Linked DNA regions of Arabidopsis thaliana. The protein of the gene in region 2 purifies or fractionates together with the protein of the main gene of each other region. This does not show direct contact. Each region holds a gene or a part of one and is shown on either strand. Other genes may lie near its edges. The genes, in order: AT4G26630 and AT5G47690.

The links.
Region 1: the proteins of AT5G47690 (region 2) and AT4G26630 purify together in Arabidopsis thaliana (affinity purification with western blotting; one study listed by BioGRID). This does not show direct contact.

What each region holds. Positions count from the first base shown.
Region 1 is NC_003075.7:13,428,468-13,439,093, reverse strand, and holds AT4G26630 (DEK domain-containing chromatin associated protein), read left to right. Parts: upstream 1-3,323; 5' UTR 3,324-3,442; exon of another isoform or gene 3,443-3,498; intron 3,499-4,168; 5' UTR 4,169-4,216; coding exon 4,217-5,251; intron 5,252-5,326; coding exon 5,327-5,360; intron 5,361-5,791; coding exon 5,792-5,874; intron 5,875-6,044; coding exon 6,045-6,104; intron 6,105-6,183; coding exon 6,184-6,294; intron 6,295-6,493; coding exon 6,494-6,586; intron 6,587-6,668; coding exon 6,669-6,752; intron 6,753-6,926; coding exon 6,927-7,425; intron 7,426-7,621; coding exon 7,622-7,713; intron 7,714-7,933; coding exon 7,934-7,964; intron 7,965-8,051; coding exon 8,052-8,221; 3' UTR 8,222-8,689; downstream 8,690-10,626. Other genes in the region: WRKY20 (WRKY family transcription factor family protein), read left to right, coding at 69-573, 664-820, 905-1,060, 1,325-1,796; AT4G26620 (Sucrase/ferredoxin-like family protein), read left to right, coding at 9,217-9,594, 10,091-10,176, 10,284-10,589. UniProt on the Arabidopsis thaliana protein: Chromatin-associated protein which contributes to the modulation of chromatin structure (such as super-helical structure of DNA) and function.
Region 2 is NC_003076.8:19,313,685-19,321,622, reverse strand, and holds the start of AT5G47690 (binding protein), read right to left. Parts: upstream 3,956-7,938; 5' UTR 3,725-3,955; coding exon 3,632-3,724; exon of another isoform or gene 3,470-3,631; intron 2,970-3,469; coding exon 2,766-2,969; intron 2,684-2,765; coding exon 2,502-2,683; intron 2,298-2,501; coding exon 2,171-2,297; intron 2,065-2,170; coding exon 1,846-2,064; intron 1,636-1,845; coding exon 1,419-1,635; intron 1,348-1,418; coding exon 1,202-1,347; intron 1,112-1,201; coding exon 966-1,111; intron 840-965; coding exon 690-839; intron 582-689; coding exon 533-581; intron 427-532; coding exon 235-426; intron 157-234; coding exon 1-156. Other genes in the region: TRM10 (tRNA (guanine(9)-N1)-methyltransferase-like protein), read left to right, coding at 4,156-4,938, 5,043-5,294; NF-YB6 (nuclear factor Y, subunit B6), read right to left, coding at 5,648-6,285, 6,496-6,562; AT5G47660 (Homeodomain-like superfamily protein), read right to left, coding at 6,987-7,740. UniProt on the Arabidopsis thaliana protein: Cohesin cofactor dispensable during the meiotic division but playing an important role in DNA repair by homologous recombination (HR) probably by helping SMC5/SMC6 complex.

The DNA.
Region 1 (10,626 bases), on a different chromosome or scaffold from region 2:
CACAGTTTATAAGTTACTTGTATATTGTTGGGGGATGACTTTGTCTAAACATCTTTATTGATTTCAAGGTATATGCAGAGCTTGGCAAGATTAGAAGTGAGCCACCAGTACATTTTCAAGGCCAGGGCCATGGATCCTCACACTCACCTTCTTCGATCAGTGATGCTGCAGGTTCCTCAAGTGAGCTAAGCCGGCCAACTCCTCCTTGTCAGATGACACCAACGAGCTCAGATATTCCGGCTGGATCTGATCAAGAGGAATCAATCCAGACTTCCCAAAATGACTCCAGAGGAAGCACTCCATCCATCTTGGCTGATGATGGTTATAACTGGAGAAAATATGGTCAAAAGCATGTCAAAGGGAGTGAATTTCCCCGGAGCTATTATAAATGTACACATCCTAATTGTGAAGTGAAAAAGTTATTTGAAAGATCTCATGATGGGCAGATCACCGATATTATATACAAGGGTACACATGACCATCCTAAACCTCAACCTGGTCGCCGAAACTCTGGTGGTATGGCTGCACAAGAAGAAAGGCTAGACAAGTATCCTTCTTCAACTGGCCGAGATGGTAATCATAACTAAAACTTGAGACAAATATGCACTTACTCCCTTGGCAATATCTATAACTTTTTCCTTCTACTCTTATGTCTGCATACAGAGAAGGGATCTGGCGTCTACAACTTGTCTAACCCCAATGAACAAACTGGTAACCCTGAAGTACCTCCTATCTCAGCATCTGACGATGGTGGAGAAGCGGCAGCGTCAAATAGGAATAAAGATGAGCCGGACGATGATGATCCATTCTCAAAACGGAGGTATTAGAGTTTAACAAAGGATTCAGGTGCTTGATTTGAATCTGTGATTTGACATGATTAAAACTTTATTTTAACTTTATGTAGGAGGATGGAGGGTGCGATGGAAATAACTCCACTAGTGAAACCCATCCGGGAGCCTCGGGTTGTTGTTCAAACTCTGAGTGAGGTTGACATTCTGGATGATGGTTATAGATGGCGCAAATATGGGCAGAAAGTCGTAAGGGGGAACCCAAATCCCAGGTTTGTACAGCATTAAAGCTTTTAACACCCCAAAAAATTCCTTGCTTTTTTCTCGAATGAACATACATAAACATAACTTGCGAGTTCAAAATGGTAGCTAGAACAGTTTAGTCCTTGTCTTCAGGACCTAGTTATTTGACATGTGCATAAAGTGTTGCTTCTTTTAGGAATTTGGTTTGGAATATGGAAGATAGTGATCTTAACAGACTCAACATGTGCGCAATGGAGATATTATGTTTCATGATGTTCCTCGGCCTTTTGTAGGAGCTACTACAAATGCACAGCTCATGGATGCCCAGTGAGAAAACACGTGGAGAGAGCATCACATGATCCAAAAGCTGTAATAACAACATACGAAGGCAAACACGATCATGATGTTCCCACTTCAAAGTCTAGCAGCAATCACGAAATCCAGCCTCGGTTCAGACCAGATGAAACAGACACCATCAGCCTCAATCTTGGTGTTGGAATCTCATCTGATGGACCTAACCACGCTTCCAACGAACATCAGCACCAGAATCAACAACTTGTCAACCAAACTCACCCAAATGGAGTCAATTTCAGGTTTGTTCATGCTAGTCCCATGTCATCCTACTATGCTAGCTTAAATAGCGGTATGAATCAGTACGGCCAGAGAGAAACAAAGAACGAGACTCAAAATGGTGACATCTCGTCCTTGAACAATTCATCTTACCCATATCCGCCCAACATGGGGAGAGTACAATCGGGTCCGTAAAACAAAAAGTAAGCAACATTATGTACGGGATCTTCTTAGGTTAGGAATGGGACGAGGCCTTGTTCTATATAATTCCTATTTCTTCACAGAGAGCTGATCTTGATTCAAACTATCTCCACCATATATATTTGTTTGTGTCACCTGTATTGAGTTCCAAAAATGTTATGTAAAAATACACAACAAGATGTTAATGCTTTTATTTAAACAAGAAACAGCAATATTACTACAAACTATTTCTTCTTCACCGTAATTAGATATGCTCCATGAAAGAAACACCACGACGGTACTTAAGCTACGTGGTCCTTAAGCAGACAATTACAACTGTTGCCCGTTTTTCAATAATAGTTTCTCAACTTTTAGTTCTAGACTTCTAGATTTGTCAAAAACTCATAATAATGAGATATAAATACTTCGACTAGGTGATTTACCATGGGACAATATTAAACTTTGTTCAATTATTTGGAAGGTTATACTATACAGTCTCTATACAAAATTAAGAGATTTGTGCAAGAAGTAGATTGGCAATTAAAACAGTAACCTTATTCTCTCTTACATGTATCTAGATTATTTGGTGGAAGTTACAATCTCTAATTTCATATTTAGAACTTTTTTTTTTCCGAAGCATTTACTGTTGTTAAAGACAAACATATTAGATTCTTTTAGATCATAGTACCCGTTAAGCAAATAAAAATTTTGTCGCTATCAAACTAATGACATTATAAGTCATTTATAATCATCGTCGTCAAAATAGTCTTGTTTTTTTCACCGGACCAGTGAATCATTTTCATCTTTTGCGGAAAGGTAAAAATCGGATTATCATGTTAATTTTTTTGCAAAAATTGACAACGCTATTTATGGTAGCGGATCGAATCCATCATAAAAAATATTTAAATATAAAATAACAAAATTTGTTAAAGTCACTTATACAATTCTATTCAATTAGATCATTTTACCTAATATAGCGTTGTTTAAATCAATTATAATTGAACATTCAACGAATTCGTTAAATTTCTTTAAAAAGAAGTACATTTTAAGAAAGAGTTTGTTTTAATCATTTGTTCAATCACATAAACTTAGCTTCCTTATCATAAAGAAGTAAAACAATTTCATTAATATTAAACCGATATAGCAATTATTACGTATCAATTTTATTTTTATCTGTTATATAGTAATTTTATAGATAATTTATTTACAAAACTATCATATCATTGAAAAATTACCAAATTAAATTTGTAGTTAAAAAAATATATTTTTCTATAGGTCACAAACATTGAATATGTTAACTTTTTTTGTCCAAAAACCTAATATAAAATCCTTGAAATATAAAGTCTAGGCTCGGTACCTGGTTCGGAACCGGACGTTAGGGTAGTTTATAGCGTCATCGATCCACGAGATGCATCAAACATAAAATCTGAACCGTTGATGAACTCTATTACAGCAATGAAATCGGACGGTAATGATTCATCCTAAGCCTGACGTGGCATTAAATTGTATTTAAAATCTGGCTTTGCGTCCGAATCCTTGAATTTCTCTCTCCTAAAAAACGCTATCAAAAAGAAAAACAAAAGCTATTTGTTCTGTTTTGTAAGAAAAAAAGTAGTTAGAGGAGAAAAAAAACTCAGTGCCGAGTCTTGTGATACTCTGAGGTGAGATTCCGAAGTCTTCTGCTTTAGAACCCTGTGGATACTCTGCTTAAATCTTTGTGAGCTTTTATGTTTTGAGCTTTGTTTGAATTCGCATGTTCTTTTGGTTCTTCTTTGTGTTTGTTTAAAGTTGCGATGAGAAGTTAGGGTTTCTCATGCGCTTCTTTTATTTGTGAATTTCGATGTTTTGATTATTTATTGTCTTTTTGATATCTGATGCTATTAAGTTGTTGACAAAATGCATGAATTTGACGTTGATTGACTTGATTTCGAGAGATTCAAGATGGGTTTGTGTTTTGTCTGAATCTGTGTGGTGTAAGCTCTGGAGATTTGTCTGAATGAAAGGGTGTTTTTTGGTTTCATTTGTCCATCTGGATCTTTGTTCTACTGAATGTATAAGAAGCGAGGATAAATGATGAACCTTCGAGATTTTGGTTTCTTAGTGACTTACGCGAAATTTCCATTTAGTTCTTCTTCTGCAGATCTAAAGTGGGATTAAGTGATAATTATGGATCAATAATGAGATCTAAATTAGATTTGTCTTATTGTTGACTAGCCAAGTTTTAGATGTTGTTTTCCTGGAATTAGTTTTTTTTCGCATATATGCTAAGTGTGAATTCAATGCGTTTTACATGTTCTTTATGTCAAGTTGTTCAATTTCTTTATAGAGAGCATTAATTTCTGCTATCGTAGCAATATTAATCCTCTGAACTGATTTCTCATTCACAGCCACAAGAAGTGTTTTTGGTGGAAGGATCTACTGAACTGGTTTGTAATATGGGGGAAGATACAAAGGCAACCATTGAGCCAACCGCAAACAAGACTACTTCTCTTGAAAAGCCATCAGAGGCTATGGCTGGAAAGGAGAATGCTGGGGGTAAGGAAACACAAGAACTGGCGAAAGATGAGGATATGGCTGAGCCAGACAATATGGAGATAGATGCTCAGATTAAGAAAGATGATGAAAAAGCTGAGACGGAAGATAAAGAGTCAGAGGTTAAGAAAAATGAAGACAATGCTGAGACTCAAAAAATGGAAGAGAAGGTTGAGGTCACCAAAGATGAGGGACAAGCAGAGGCTACCAACATGGATGAAGATGCCGATGGAAAGAAAGAGCAAACTGATGATGGTGTTTCAGTGGAAGATACTGTAATGAAGGAAAACGTGGAATCTAAAGACAATAACTATGCCAAAGATGATGAAAAAGAGACCAAAGAGACAGATATTACTGAGGCAGACCACAAAAAAGCTGGGAAGGAGGACATACAACATGAAGCTGACAAAGCAAATGGAACAAAAGATGGCAATACAGGAGACATCAAAGAGGAAGGGACACTGGTAGATGAAGACAAAGGGACAGATATGGATGAAAAAGTGGAGAATGGGGATGAAAATAAACAAGTGGAGAATGTTGAAGGAAAAGAAAAGGAAGATAAGGAAGAAAATAAAACAAAGGAAGTTGAGGCGGCAAAGGCTGAGGTGGATGAGTCAAAGGTAGAAGATGAAAAAGAAGGGAGTGAGGATGAGAACGACAATGAAAAAGTGGAGAGCAAAGATGCAAAGGAAGATGAGAAAGAGGAGACAAATGATGATAAAGAAGATGAAAAAGAAGAGAGCAAGGGTTCTAAAAAGCGTGGGAAAGGGACGAGTTCTGGAGGAAAGGTTCGCGAGAAGAATAAAACCGAGGAAGTAAAAAAGGATGCAGAGCCTAGGACTCCTTTCTCTGATCGCCCTGTGCGTGAGCGGAAATCTGTTGAGAGGCTTGTTGCATTGATTGATAAAGACTCCTCGAAAGAATTCCGTGTTGAAAAGGTTTGCCAAAACTTTCCTGAGCTGAGTAGAACTTTATTGCTAGATATGTTTATAATAATCCTTTGGATATTACAGGGGCGAGGTGCATATCTCAAAGATATTCCCAATGGTATGTTCATATTCTATCTATCTGTCCTTCAAGCATCTATCTCGAATTATCCTTGTGCTGAAAAGTCTTTTGTGTTAGCTTTCCAAGTTTACAGTTTGAGCCCCTTATTATCTTCAAGTGTGCGTAGCCTAAACGTTCTTTTGTTACGAGAATTCTATGTGCTGGATACTACTAGTTGTTAAATTGCATGTATACTATGGGTGGATTCTTTGATCTATACACTTTTCGGTTCTGGTTATGTGAATCTTCATTTGAATTTTTTTTCTTGGCATTGATCAATTCCAGCCGGCTCAGAAGCAAGATTTCTTGTAAACCAAAATCTAATAATCGCGACCTACCTAAAAAATACCTTTATTGTTCCATTTTTTCATCTTTTTATTTTTGTTTGAAGTTGAAATGAAGTAGATAACTTGAATGTTTCTTCTCTGTAGTTGCTAACAAGGTAATGAGGAAGAGGTCTGATGAAACTTTGAAGCTGCTTCACCCAATTCTATTTGGTGGGAGGAGAGGGAAGGTGAGCGTCTCTTTGGATCCTTTTGACATTATGCTGCTCCAATAGTCATACTTCTAAAATTGTCAATCATGGGCATACTCTTGTAGTTTGAGACCAGTGGTATGGACTCATGTGCTGTAGCAAGTCTGCTAATCATGTTTGTATGTATCTTATTCTTCTTGCTTTAACAGGCTGCTCAGATCAAGACAAACATATTGGGCTTCTCTGGTTTCGTTTGGCATGGAGATGAGGTGTGCAACATTACACATAATGAATGCTTTTACATATGCCTTTGCTTTGTATATAATTGTGGCTCTTTGGTATTTGCAGAAGAAAGCAAAAGAAAAAGTAAAAGAAAAGCTTGAGAAATGCACCAAAGAGAAACTGTGGGAGTTTTGTGATGTGTTGGACATACACATTACCAAGGCTACAACAAAGAAGGTCATTATGGTTATCAATTTCTAAGTTTTTGTTCTTGAGATTCATTTTTTTCCTCTGTGAATAGATACATGTGAAGGTTTAAATTTCTGTCTTTGTTGAGCAGCTTGATTAGCCATTTCTGGTTGTCCAAGTTTATGCTTATTCATTTCCCCATTTAATCGAATCTGGCAACTTCTTGTTGCATGCTTTTTCAACACAGGAAGATATTATTACAAAACTGTTTGAGTTTTTGGAGAAACCTCATGTGACAGGTGATGTGACCGGTGACACTACAGTTTCTGAGAAAGAGAAGGTAATGTGGTGTTGGGAAAGTTTTGTTTGCTTTAATAACTATTGTGCATCTTACATTCTTTAAAAACATTCTGTTGAAACAGTCAAGTAAGGGAGCAAAACGCAAGAGAACTCCCAAGAAAACTTCACCTACAGCTGGGAGTTCATCCTCCAAACGATCAGCAAAGGTAATGCATAGCTTAGAGCTGAGGGCTTGCTTGTTCATTAATCTTGTTATTAACTCTGAAAAGAACGTGTAATCTCAATGTAGCTTATTTGCAACTGTCCATCACTGGTCAACCCGTCAATGTTTCTGGCTAAGTATTTTAATCTGATTATATTATTCTGCACTTCCTTTGCAGAGCCAAAAAAAGTCTGAAGAAGCAACAAAAGTTGTCAAAAAGAGTTTAGCTCATTCTGATGATGAATCTGAAGAAGAGAAAGAAGAAGAAGAAAAACAAGAGGAGGAGAAGGCAGAAGAGAAAGAAGAGAAAAAAGAGGAGGAGAATGAAAATGGCATTCCTGATAAATCTGAGGATGAGGCGCCTCAGCCTTCTGAAAGCGAGGAGAAAGATGAATCTGAGGAGCATTCTGAAGAAGAAACTACAAAGAAGAAACGTGGTTCTAGATTGTCAGCTGGGAAGAAAGAATCAGCAGGGAGAGCCAGAAACAAGAAAGCAGTGGTCGCTGCAAAATCCAGTCCACCAGAGAAGATTACACAGAAGCGGTCATCAGCCAAACGAAAGAAGACTGATGATGACAGTGATACAAGTCCAAAGGCGTCCTCTAAGAGGAAGAAGTCTGAAAACCCTATCAAGGCCTCCCCGGCTCCTTCAAAGTCTGCATCAAAAGAGAAGCCAGGTTTGGTCATTATCCTGTTTTTTTCTTCCAGTAAGATGGTCGCTTAGGTAGAATAAAAACATGTTGGGTGTAGTGTATGTCAGATGCATTGGAGAATCTTATTCCTTATATCTTCATTTTCAGAAGCGAACCAATATACAACCACTAATGTTTTCTGACACCATGTTTATCTCTGTTTGTGTCTATATGCTAAAAGTAAAAAGGGCTGGAAAAGGGAAAGACAAGCCGAGTGATAAAGTGCTGAAAAATGCAATCGTTGAGATCTTGAAAAGAGTGGACTTTAGTACGGTGAGTAATTTCTCAACCTTTTATATGCGATACACTTAACTACTTGGGATGTGTGTGGAATAAAACAAAATTGGATTCTGCCGAACAAACTTATTGGTTACATGAAATAACCTTCGTTTTCTGAAAGCTGATTTGAAGTTTGTTGTGCAATATCTATTCAAACTGTGAATTTCCTTCTATACCTAGATAACCTAATAAGAGCATTGTTGTTCTTCTGCAGGCTACGTTCACGGACATCCTTAAAGAACTTGGTATGAACAGATTGGTTTCAGTCATTTGTTTTTCCAGTGATTCCTGGTTATATATAAAATAAACACATTGTTTCATCCATCTTTCAGCTAAGGAGTTCACAGAAGATCTCACTCCAAGAAAGTCATCTATAAAGATGATAATCCAAGAGGAGCTCACCAAATTAGCAGATGAGGAGGAGGAGGAGGAAAAGAAAGAAGAGGATTCAGAGAAGGAGGAAGCAGGAGGGTCTGGTGGTGGTGAGGAGGTGAAAGCCTAAACTCCTTTCTGATCACATCGCACATATTGAGTCTCTCTGTCAGATACTGTTGCCTAATGCCTAGTAGTCATCTGGCAAATGTGTAAGTTAAATCTGTGGATGTAATATTTTGTTGTTGGAGTCTGAACTGCGTAAAGCAGCTTTACTTTTGGTAGAGACAAGAGGAAGAAGCTGCATAGCCAAAGGATAGGTTGCTTGTATGTCTATAGCATTTAACATAAAAGCCTCCTTGGATTGTCTTTGATTTGTGAGGCTCCCTTTTCGAGACATTGTCAAGGTTTCTTTTGTTTATGTCTTTTGGTTTGAAGGAGGCCAATGGTAATAAATGAATAATATGTTTCTCTTGATTCCCTTTAAGACTTTGAATATTGCAGAAGGAATTTATGCTCATCTTGTATCCTTGATCTATCTCTAACATATCTGCAAATCTACCAACGCAAATCCAGTCTAAGAAATGTAGGAATTGGTACCTCATAAACATATACAACAAAGATTAACATTGATGAAGAAGAGAGTCTGTATTCTTACAGGACCAAAATATACAGAAAAGAATCTGTGCTCTTCTTCTACATCCCCTTTTCGGACAACCCAAACACAAGTTCCAAAAGAATGTAATTGCTGTTGTTACATTCAGAGTACCTAAATAGATTGCAATGGAGACACTGCAAATACATAGAATTCAAAGCAGATGGCTAAACATGGTTAACTATAAGCATAAGCAACACTTGTCCAGGCTTTTATCATTCTGGCTGCAGCTACTATTATCTTATTTGATGTACTAGATTCGAAAAGACCTGTCACACACACAAAGGCAAAAGTACCGGTCCGATTGCAAAATAGAATATCGATTAAGGAGTAAACCGGAATAAGAGTAACGGAATATACTTGACAGACCTCTCTCAGTAGAAGAATCACTGAGAAACTTTCACTTCTTCTTCGTCTCCGTAGTTTCAGTTTCGATCTGTAAAGTTTCAAACTTGTGGTCGAATTTTTAAATGGGAAGTGGAAGAGATAGAGACGACCCTTTATCCTTCACCAGCAATCCATCTACGGCGTCGTCTCCAGTCACTGTATCTGACTATCTCGACAACTTTCTCGGCGAACCCACTTCTCGCTCCGGTAGTTTTCAAAGCGAGAGCTTACTCGGTGGAGGCGGTGGAGAAAGCATCAACGACGCTGATTTTGGATTCGCTCGTCCTGATTTCCGATCGGAACAACTAGCTGGAACCGTACAGTTTTACGAGAGGCATGTCTTCTTGTGCTACAAAAAGCCATCTGTTTGGCCCGCAAGGATCGAGGCTGCTGAGTTCGATCGATTGCCTAGGCTACTCTCTGCTGCTGTATCGGCCAGAAAGGGTAGCATGAAGAAGGAGGTCAGCTTTTTACTCTACTATTTTCTGATTCCATTGATTCAGCTTGTTCGCTGTTAACTTGCATCTCCTGTTTCCAAGTATATTGCTTGATTCTCATAAATCTAGGTCTGATTGTTTCCAATAAGTCTCCCAAATAAGCAAAAAGCATTTGCGTTCACTTGTTTTGGCTTACTTAAAGTATCTGTTTAAGGTCGTAATGAGTCATAAAAACTCTTGCCTGGTGACTCTTGGGATTTCTGTATGGGTCAAATAAGGCAAAGTTTCTATTTTTGGCACGATTCTATGGCTAACAACATAATAACTTGTCTATTGGCTTCAAGATGGGATCTTAGGACTTGCACCTCCGTTTTTTGAGCTATGACAGTGGTGAACTTAAGTGGAAATGGTGTCTGTAATGGATTGCTTCTTTTCGGATAGTCTCATGATGATGCCTTCATGATTGTCTTTTGCTTTGTGCCTCATGTTTTTTTTTTTTTTTTTGGCCATTGTTTCGTAGACTCGACTCACAATATGTGAGGGGCATGATGGAACAGAGACATCCAATGGTGATGTACTTATTTTTCCTGATATGATCAGATACAGGTAAGGGGTGAAGTCTTCCTAGTTGGAGATTTCTTAGATTTGGTTTCGTTTTTTCTATCAACAGTTGGGACTTTTTTTTGACAGTTTTGATTTAACAAAAATTGCAGGAGATTGACTCACTTTGATGTGGAGACCTTTGTGGAAGAGGTGCTTGTGAAGGATGGTGAATGGCTGCCTGGAAATCCTGAATTGCTGAAAGGCTCATATGTCTTTGTATGTTCCCATGGATCCCGAGACCGGCGATGTGGGGTTTGTGGGCCGTCGCTAGTTAGTAGATTCAGAGAAGAACTTGAGTTCCATGGTCTTCAAGGTAAAGTGTCAATTAGCCCATGTTCTCACATAGGTGGTCACAAATACGCTGGGAATGTTATCATCTACCGATCAAACATCAACAGGGAAGTCACAGGACACTGGTGAGTAAGGAATTACGGATTTATCAACTAGTTTGAG
Region 2 (7,938 bases):
CCCCAATGTATTTTTAGAAGACTTTCTAACAGATACTTCCGCTAATATCTCTTTCACATACTCCTTACTGAATAGCAGATAAGAACACTTTATGGAGAGAGTGCTGAGAAAATCATAGAGAGAATGCTTCTCAGAGAGTATTTTAAGCATATCATCCTGCACACAACCACAAACCAGTTATAAGGTTGTCGAAAGTAAATCTATATGTAAATACAAACTTCTTGTTATTCTCACCCGAATCCTGGATGCTTGCGTTATGCTAGTGTTGGGATCAAGCAGATTAGTCAAAATCTTCCAGATATTAGCATCTTTCAGTTGATCAAGAATTAAAAAGTTTTGCTCAGTCTTTGGGGGGTCAGAAAATGCACGTGACATAACTCTGAATCCAAATAGGATCTTTTTCTGAATCTCAGGAGCATCAGCAGTCTGCATTGAGACAGAATATAAGGTTCTAGATAGTGAAACTTAAAAGGGAAAAATTCCAACCAAAAAATTTTTAAAAGAAAAATTCTTCAACTATCTTTGGTCGAACCTGTTGTGTCTGCTTGATTGACAAATATCTTTGCATTTCTTGTTGTATCCTAAAGGTCAAAACAATTCTCCACAATAAATCTTCAGTATCGAAAAGACAGCATGACAACGATCCTTCAAAATAATTTAAGTGCAATAAAAAAAGTCATCAAATACACCTTTGTCTTTGCTCCAGTATCTTCTCAAAAGCTTTGGTCTCCACTTTGTCAAACCCGGAAAAGATTTGTATCCAATGCTTAACTTTATCTCTTACTGAGAAATCACTAGGAAACAGTGAACTGCATAGAATATACTCAATTGTATCTGACCTGCAACACATATAATATATTTAGATCATCTTTTTAAAGGTTATGATACTAATCAACTAGAATTAAGTAAACCCCAAGAATAAAAGAAAAGGAGCCAGGGTTCAAAAATGTTTTAGACAAATGCACCTGAAATCTTTGTCATAAAGACATCTCAAGATTTTTCCAGGAATCCAATTAAAATCGCCAGTGTCTACCTTCCCATCAGCACACCGTAAGCAATATACCCGGAACAACTCAGTCAACCTTTCCATTGTGTATGTTTTTACGAGTATCTGAATTAGAAAAAGAACTATGAGTTCAAATGTCTTCAAATTTTAGTATGCAACTATCAGAGACAACCAGACTGAATACATAAAACGTACAGCTTTGTCACGAAGCCGTTCAGCAACTAACTTCATAGTGTCAACTGGAATCGACGTCAATGCACTCACAGACACATCACAAATAACAGCAACAACTTGTTTGCGGATATTCTCATCATAATCCAAGAGCCGGTCACAGAGAGCAGCTACATAAGTATTAACACTATAAGATTAGTCAATTCTAATGCATATTAATGGCATGATAAAGAAAGCTTACATATAATTTGAGAAGCCTCAGCTCTCAAAGGATCTGAGAGCAAACAGTCCTTAATATGGTCAAGGATGGCCATCCTAACTTCAACTACCCTATCGGTCAGCCTTTTCAGAAACTCCAAAAAAATTGAATCGAACTCTTCAGAGATGACACGTCCAGGCAAGGAAAACAACTCTCCAACCAATCCAACCACTTTCAAACGAGTTTCCAGTTTATCCGCCTGTATATGTTAATAGTATGCATTATGTATTATTCAATACCAATCTACTTGAAAAGATGGGCTCATACCACATGAAAAGTATTGAAACAACAAATGGATAAGAGTGATTATTCAAACAAAATACATAATAATAAAAGTATTGTGCATGGCAGAGTCATGATGACATTTGACGTGCAAGATAGTGGCAGAAGACCAAAAATAAAATTATACCAAAAGCTCTCCAGTGAGATATGGTGCAACTCCAGATAGGGCCTGAGGAGCACAGCGGTACAAATCATAGATAACCTCATGGTAGTCAATTTGACTGCTGGAAAATCGGCTATCTCCAGACATTGAAGAGATAAGGAACTGCTTTATGTCAGATTCAACTTTGGGCGCACAATGCTCTATGACTTTCATAGCAAGTCTTCTTGCAGCATCTCTAACGTCCTGCCATCATAAATGCAGAATATGAGCTGTCTGATATTCCATAAAACAACGAATCCTAAATTGGATTATAATCAGTGGCCAGAGCCAGCAACGTGAGTATGCTCACACTTCTATTGCGGCCCAATTTAGAGAGTAAAATTAGTAAAAGGTGCTCTTGCACATCTTCGCTTTCTTCTAAAAGAACAATCATTATATTTTGCATTGATGAGAAAACAATCTCCGGATGGTCATCTCTGCACATACAGAAATAAAACAATCTTTCAGTATGAAGCCCAAAAGAAAAGAAAAAAATCACAGAAACCATTCATATTTTGTATTACTAGCCAAGAACACCAACGAAAAGCACAACTGAAAATCAGAAAATTTGAAGATGTTTTGTAAATCAGCGGAACTTATAATCACTCAGAAAAGAAATCTAGGTTGAAAGTGAAACACACCTAGCAACATCAAGAAATGTAGTAAACACTTCTTTCACCAGATCATCACATTCAAGATCCAACATCACTACACATGACCTGTACTTTGCAACCGTTTCTAAAATGAGAACCCTCCTTCCAAATGATGGACCACTGACATCATTCAACCCAGCAAAAGCGCTCACAATTAGTTGAAAAATATCCTGAAACAAGATAGGAAACAGAAGAAATCAGTAATGGACATGTCTGTGATCACGGTGCCAGAGGAAAGTCAGGACAAACAACCTTCATAATATTATCACTGTAAGGCGCTTCAGGTGCTGTAATACGAGTTATCTCAGAAACGCAGCTTGCAACAAGAAGCTTGACATCCTTGTCTTGATGGTTGAGAATTTCAGGTTTAATAACTGCATCAAGAAAAGGCTGAATGGACTTGAGCACTGCAGGTGGTGGAGACTGCTCCAACTCAGAAAGACAAACAGCAGCTTCCTGCATGTAGCAACACACAAGTTAAGGAAAGTCTTTTTGATAAATCAGTCACAGTATTGCACGGAAAAGTGTTTAAGGAGAGAGATATCTTAGTAAACTAACCCGACCAATTCACCCCAATGAAACCAATCAAAAGCAAATCACATTTCCACAAAGGTGGTTGATAAAGAAACATCTTAGTCAATGTAGAAACTGAACATTGGGGTAACTACTGCATCAGTCAAATTGCTGGTGAAGATAGCGCAGTTCAATTCCATCATGACCAGGGACAGAAAAATACTAGGGCCAACCCTAAAAACTCGACATTCTAACAGCAGACATCATAAAAGTCGCAAATCTAAGCAATTATAGACACTGAATTGGTTCTCCTAGGAACAGTCCCGAGTTTTATGCATGACCTAATTTCGCAAGAACAATCTAGCGTAGACGAAAAAGATGGTACAAACTAACCCTAACGCAGCTCGAAAGAAGAAAACACTGGCTCAATTAATGAGCATTACCCAGAACGGAAGAGGATCTACAAAGCTGAAAACTTTATTCGGTTCCAATTTGGCAGAATTTAAACAGGGGACAAAGATGGAAAAAAGTTCCCTCCAAACGAAAAATCGAAACTTGGAGAAATTGTAGAAGAGACAATGAGAAGTAGAGATGGGGAATCACACCTTTAAGAGTTTGAGCAATGAATCTTTAGAAACAGGAGCTAGGTCAAGCTTCGATCCCAGCTCTTTCAACTGTTCCTCCGGCTTCTGAGCCATGGGGAGTGAAACAGAGAACTCTTAAACCGAAGCTGTTAGAGACGAGCCACAATAAACGAACAAGGAAACAAAAAGGGTATTTTCTTGAATAATCTGGTTCTCAGAGTCACTATGCGGAAGAAGAAGGAGAAGAAGAAGAAAGCCACATCTGATCTGAGCTCTCTCTAACACAACAAGAGCCCCGATTAGCTGACTTACGACGGCTTTGTGTCTCTCATCGCTTCCTCATTTTCTCTTATTTTATATTGATGGTCCCTCACTTTCTCTTCTCTTTACCCTTTTTCCCCATTCTTAAAGCCCATCGTTTAACAGGCCCCTTTTTAAACATCCAGGCCCATTAGTGTAAGAATACCGACGTCGTTTTGAGTGGAGTTTCAATTTTAGTTTTTTGACCCTTCTTCTTTGCTCTCTCGCTTTGCTTTCTCGCGGCAATGGCGGCGGCGACGGGAAATGACGACAACGGCTGCTTCGATAAACCAGAATCTGAACCGGCACCGGTTAACGTTTCGCCTCCCCTGTCGAAGAATGCTCAGAAGAAGCAGCTGAAGCAGCAAAGATACGAAGCGAAGAAAGCTGAGAAGAAGGCACAGGAGAAGGAGCATAAGAGAAAAGAAGGAGAGAGAAAGCTTAAGGAATGGGAAGAAACCCTAGCGAACGCGACGGAGGAAGAGAGGCTGAAGCTTATTGAGTCGAGGAAGAGTCTGCGGAAGGAGAGAATGGAGAAGAGATCGGAGGAGAAGGAGAAGAAGATAGAGAGGCTGAATCAAGCTAAAGAAATAGGTCAAAAGATCGTAGTAGATGTTGATTTTGCTCATCTCATGTCTGAGTCTGAGATCTCAAGCCTCGTTCAGCAGATTATGTATTGCTATGCGGTGAATGGGAGAAGCACTTCACCTTGTCATCTATGGCTTACAGGAGTCCAAGGGAAGATGAGTACTGAGCTTGACAAGCTTCCTGGTTTTGAGAAATGGTTCATTGAAAAGGAAAGTAGGTGTTACATTGAAGCCATGGCTGATCAGAAAGATAATTTGGTGTATCTTACGGCTGATTCTGAAACTGTTTTGGATGATCTTGACCCTAAGCATATCTACATTATCGGTGGCTTAGTGGATCGAAACCGGTTCAAAGGGATCACCATGACCAAGGCTCAAGAACAAGGCATTAAAACAGCTAAGCTTCCCATAGGAGAGTATATGAAAATGTCAAGTTCTCAGGTAACTAAATGGCCACTTCAATTCTTGTCTCATTGGGCACAACACAAAAAACCTCTACTTTATGTACTTTGTTAATGTAAGATTTGTGGTTTTTATTGATTTAGGTTCTCACTGTGAACCAAGTTTTGGAGATACTCGTCAAGTTTCTGGAGACTAGGGACTGGAAAACAGCCTTCTTCACTGTGATTCCTCAGAGGAAAAGAACCGGACTTGATCCTGTTGATTGTTCGAAATTGGAACATATATCTGAAGAGCATCAGGAGAAAGATACTGAGGCAAACGAGAGTGCAGACAAACATGATCTTCTGGAGAGGAAAAAGGTATGCGTTGAAGTTCCTTTGGAAAGTAGTAGCTAAATGAAATGAATGAAGATTGTGAGAGTTGTTTCTGTATCCGTTAAACACTCATTTCTGTAGCTGAGAATTGAAATCTGGAATGTTTAGTCTCTTTCTATTTTGAACCAAGACGCATTACGAATTCACCGTGAATTTTGTAATATCACATGCATGCGGTTTGCAAAACTAATGCTTTATTGACATACTTTACCACAAGACAGATCAGATGAAAAACACAATGTTCTTTCAACTAGATAGATAATAAACAAAGAAAAAGCAGCATTGTTTTCGCTTAAACTTGAATTCATAAGCTACAGCTTGCACCTACTAACAGTTATGACTCTGTCAGCTGTCTATGTTATTAGCCATTGTTCTCAGTACTTATGTTGTTGAGTCGGAAATACTTCAACTCTGGCGCCACTTGCTCCTGAAGATGAACCACTCATCTTAGAATTAGGTTCGTTACCACTGAAAACAAACCCGTTCTGATGACGATAATGGTACTGCGCCATGTGAATCCCTGGCACAGGCCCGTAGGCTCCATACTCGGTCATGGTCCCATTAGGCCTCTTGACCACCAAGCCGTTGGTCATACTAACGGACCCAGCACTGCAGCTAACCCCTCTTTCACCTTCCAACTCTCTGTAGCGGTGGAGGTACAACGTGAGGGGTTCGATGTAGTCATCAAAACCGAGCTTGCTCATTGCCCACAAGACGTCCTCAGCAGTGATGGTCTTGCGCTGTTCCCGCTGGCACCGCTCATTAGCCTCCCCTGTTATGAAGCTGATGTACTCCGAAACACACTCTTGGATCGTCTCCTTGGAGTCATCTGAGATCTTGGCGTGAGCAGGTAAGATCCTCCGCATGATCCGTATCACGTTGGCAATAGGCATGAACCTGTCTTGCTCCCTCACCGTGCACTCCTCCTCACCACCATTACTGGTTTTGTTAGGCTGGTTGAATTCTGGAGGACGCATACTGCCCTCTGCCATCAGAAAATTCGCTGCTAATCCTAACAAAAATAAGAAAAATGGAAGTTTTAGTGCATAATGGCTTCGATGACGTCTGCATGCGCGGTTTATAAGATTGAAAAGCTATTTCATTAACTGTTCGTCATGAAAAGAGTACAGACATGACAATGGAGGGATTGCAGAGAATGGTTTCGCATGCAACTGAAATGAAGAGAGCCTGTGAAAAGAGGGGGTATAGAGAATGGCACTACCTGGTGGAGAAGGAGTGGTGTTGTTCACGGACAGCTTGCGGTAGCCATGGAAGCCTCCACGTTCCATATCTTTCTTGTTCTAAATACACGACTTTTGTGTTTGTGAATATCCCTATAAATAATAATAACCAATGCCCGAAATTAAGAAGCATTTGAAGAAGAGAATGGAATGAGAGAGAAGAAAGAGTAATTGGAATAAAGCTAATAGTGTTGGCAAGTGTCAGCATTTGTAATTTCAGACCTCACAAGTTCAACAACGTGGCAGCCATAATCGATGTGACCGAGGATCCTTCTCCTCGTCTCCCTTAGCCGTTACAAAATCCCAATCACCCCAACGTATTTGTCTTTTTTATTCGAACCTTCTACAAATACAGAGCCGTAGAGTTTTAAATTATAAACTACACCAAAGATATAAAAATTAAACTCGAGGTAATCATCTACAAGTTCTCCCGTTTTGCGTGCCAAAAACACCTAAATTTAAAATCTTTCACTCATTTTTCCCTCTCTCCCGAGGAAATGGTCTTGTAAAAATTTCCAAGTTTCTCAAAGTATGAGCGAGTCTTGCTGTGCTCAGGCTGTTTCTGCCCACCTTCCGTCACTCTCCTATAGTACTTGTTCATGTTCTCCCACTTCTCCTTACACTTTTTCGCAGATCTTTCGTACCCTCTTTCTTTCATTCTTGCTGATATCTCATCCCAAATCGCTCCCTTGTTGATCCCCGTCTTCTCTTCCACATCGCTTCTCGAACTTATCAATGCCTGCACTTCCTCTTGCGGCCACCTTCTACCACTGCTGCCACTGCCGCTTGAGTACCTAAACTTTATCTCTCTTTCTCTCTGAGCGGATTCACATTTCTCGTCTTTACATTGTTCCGGAAGAATCTGCTGGAGTGGTTGCGGGAATTCACACTGTTTAGGGATCTCGATCTCGTCACCAGTAACACTTCTGATGAAAGAGATGAGAGACAAGTTGCGTGCCATCTCTTGCTTCCGTGCTTCTTCATTCTGTGTCATCCTCTCGGTTTCCTGTTGCCTCCAAGCTTCCTCACGGCGTATTCTCTCCACTTCCATCTTCTCCATCACATTAATCAACTGATTATGCATCTTCTCCTGCCGCTTCATCATACTCCCCACAAGCTTCTCCAAGAAATGCTCCAGCTTTACCCTTGTTTCCCGCTTTCTTTTACCCGTGACGGTCTTGCGAACGTCTGGAGATGAGTCACTATCGCTGCTATCAACAGAGGAGCTGCAAAATCAAAAATTGGAAAGTACTTATCAAAAACTCAAAGCTTCCAACATGGTTACACTATCTAAGAACTAATAATCCAAAAGTTCCGCAGAATATATAGACAAACACTGCTTAGAAGTGGTATAAACCAACACTGTAAAAGCTTGTAATGACGGCACACCAATCTGATTGATATCTGCAAAGTTTAATGCTTTA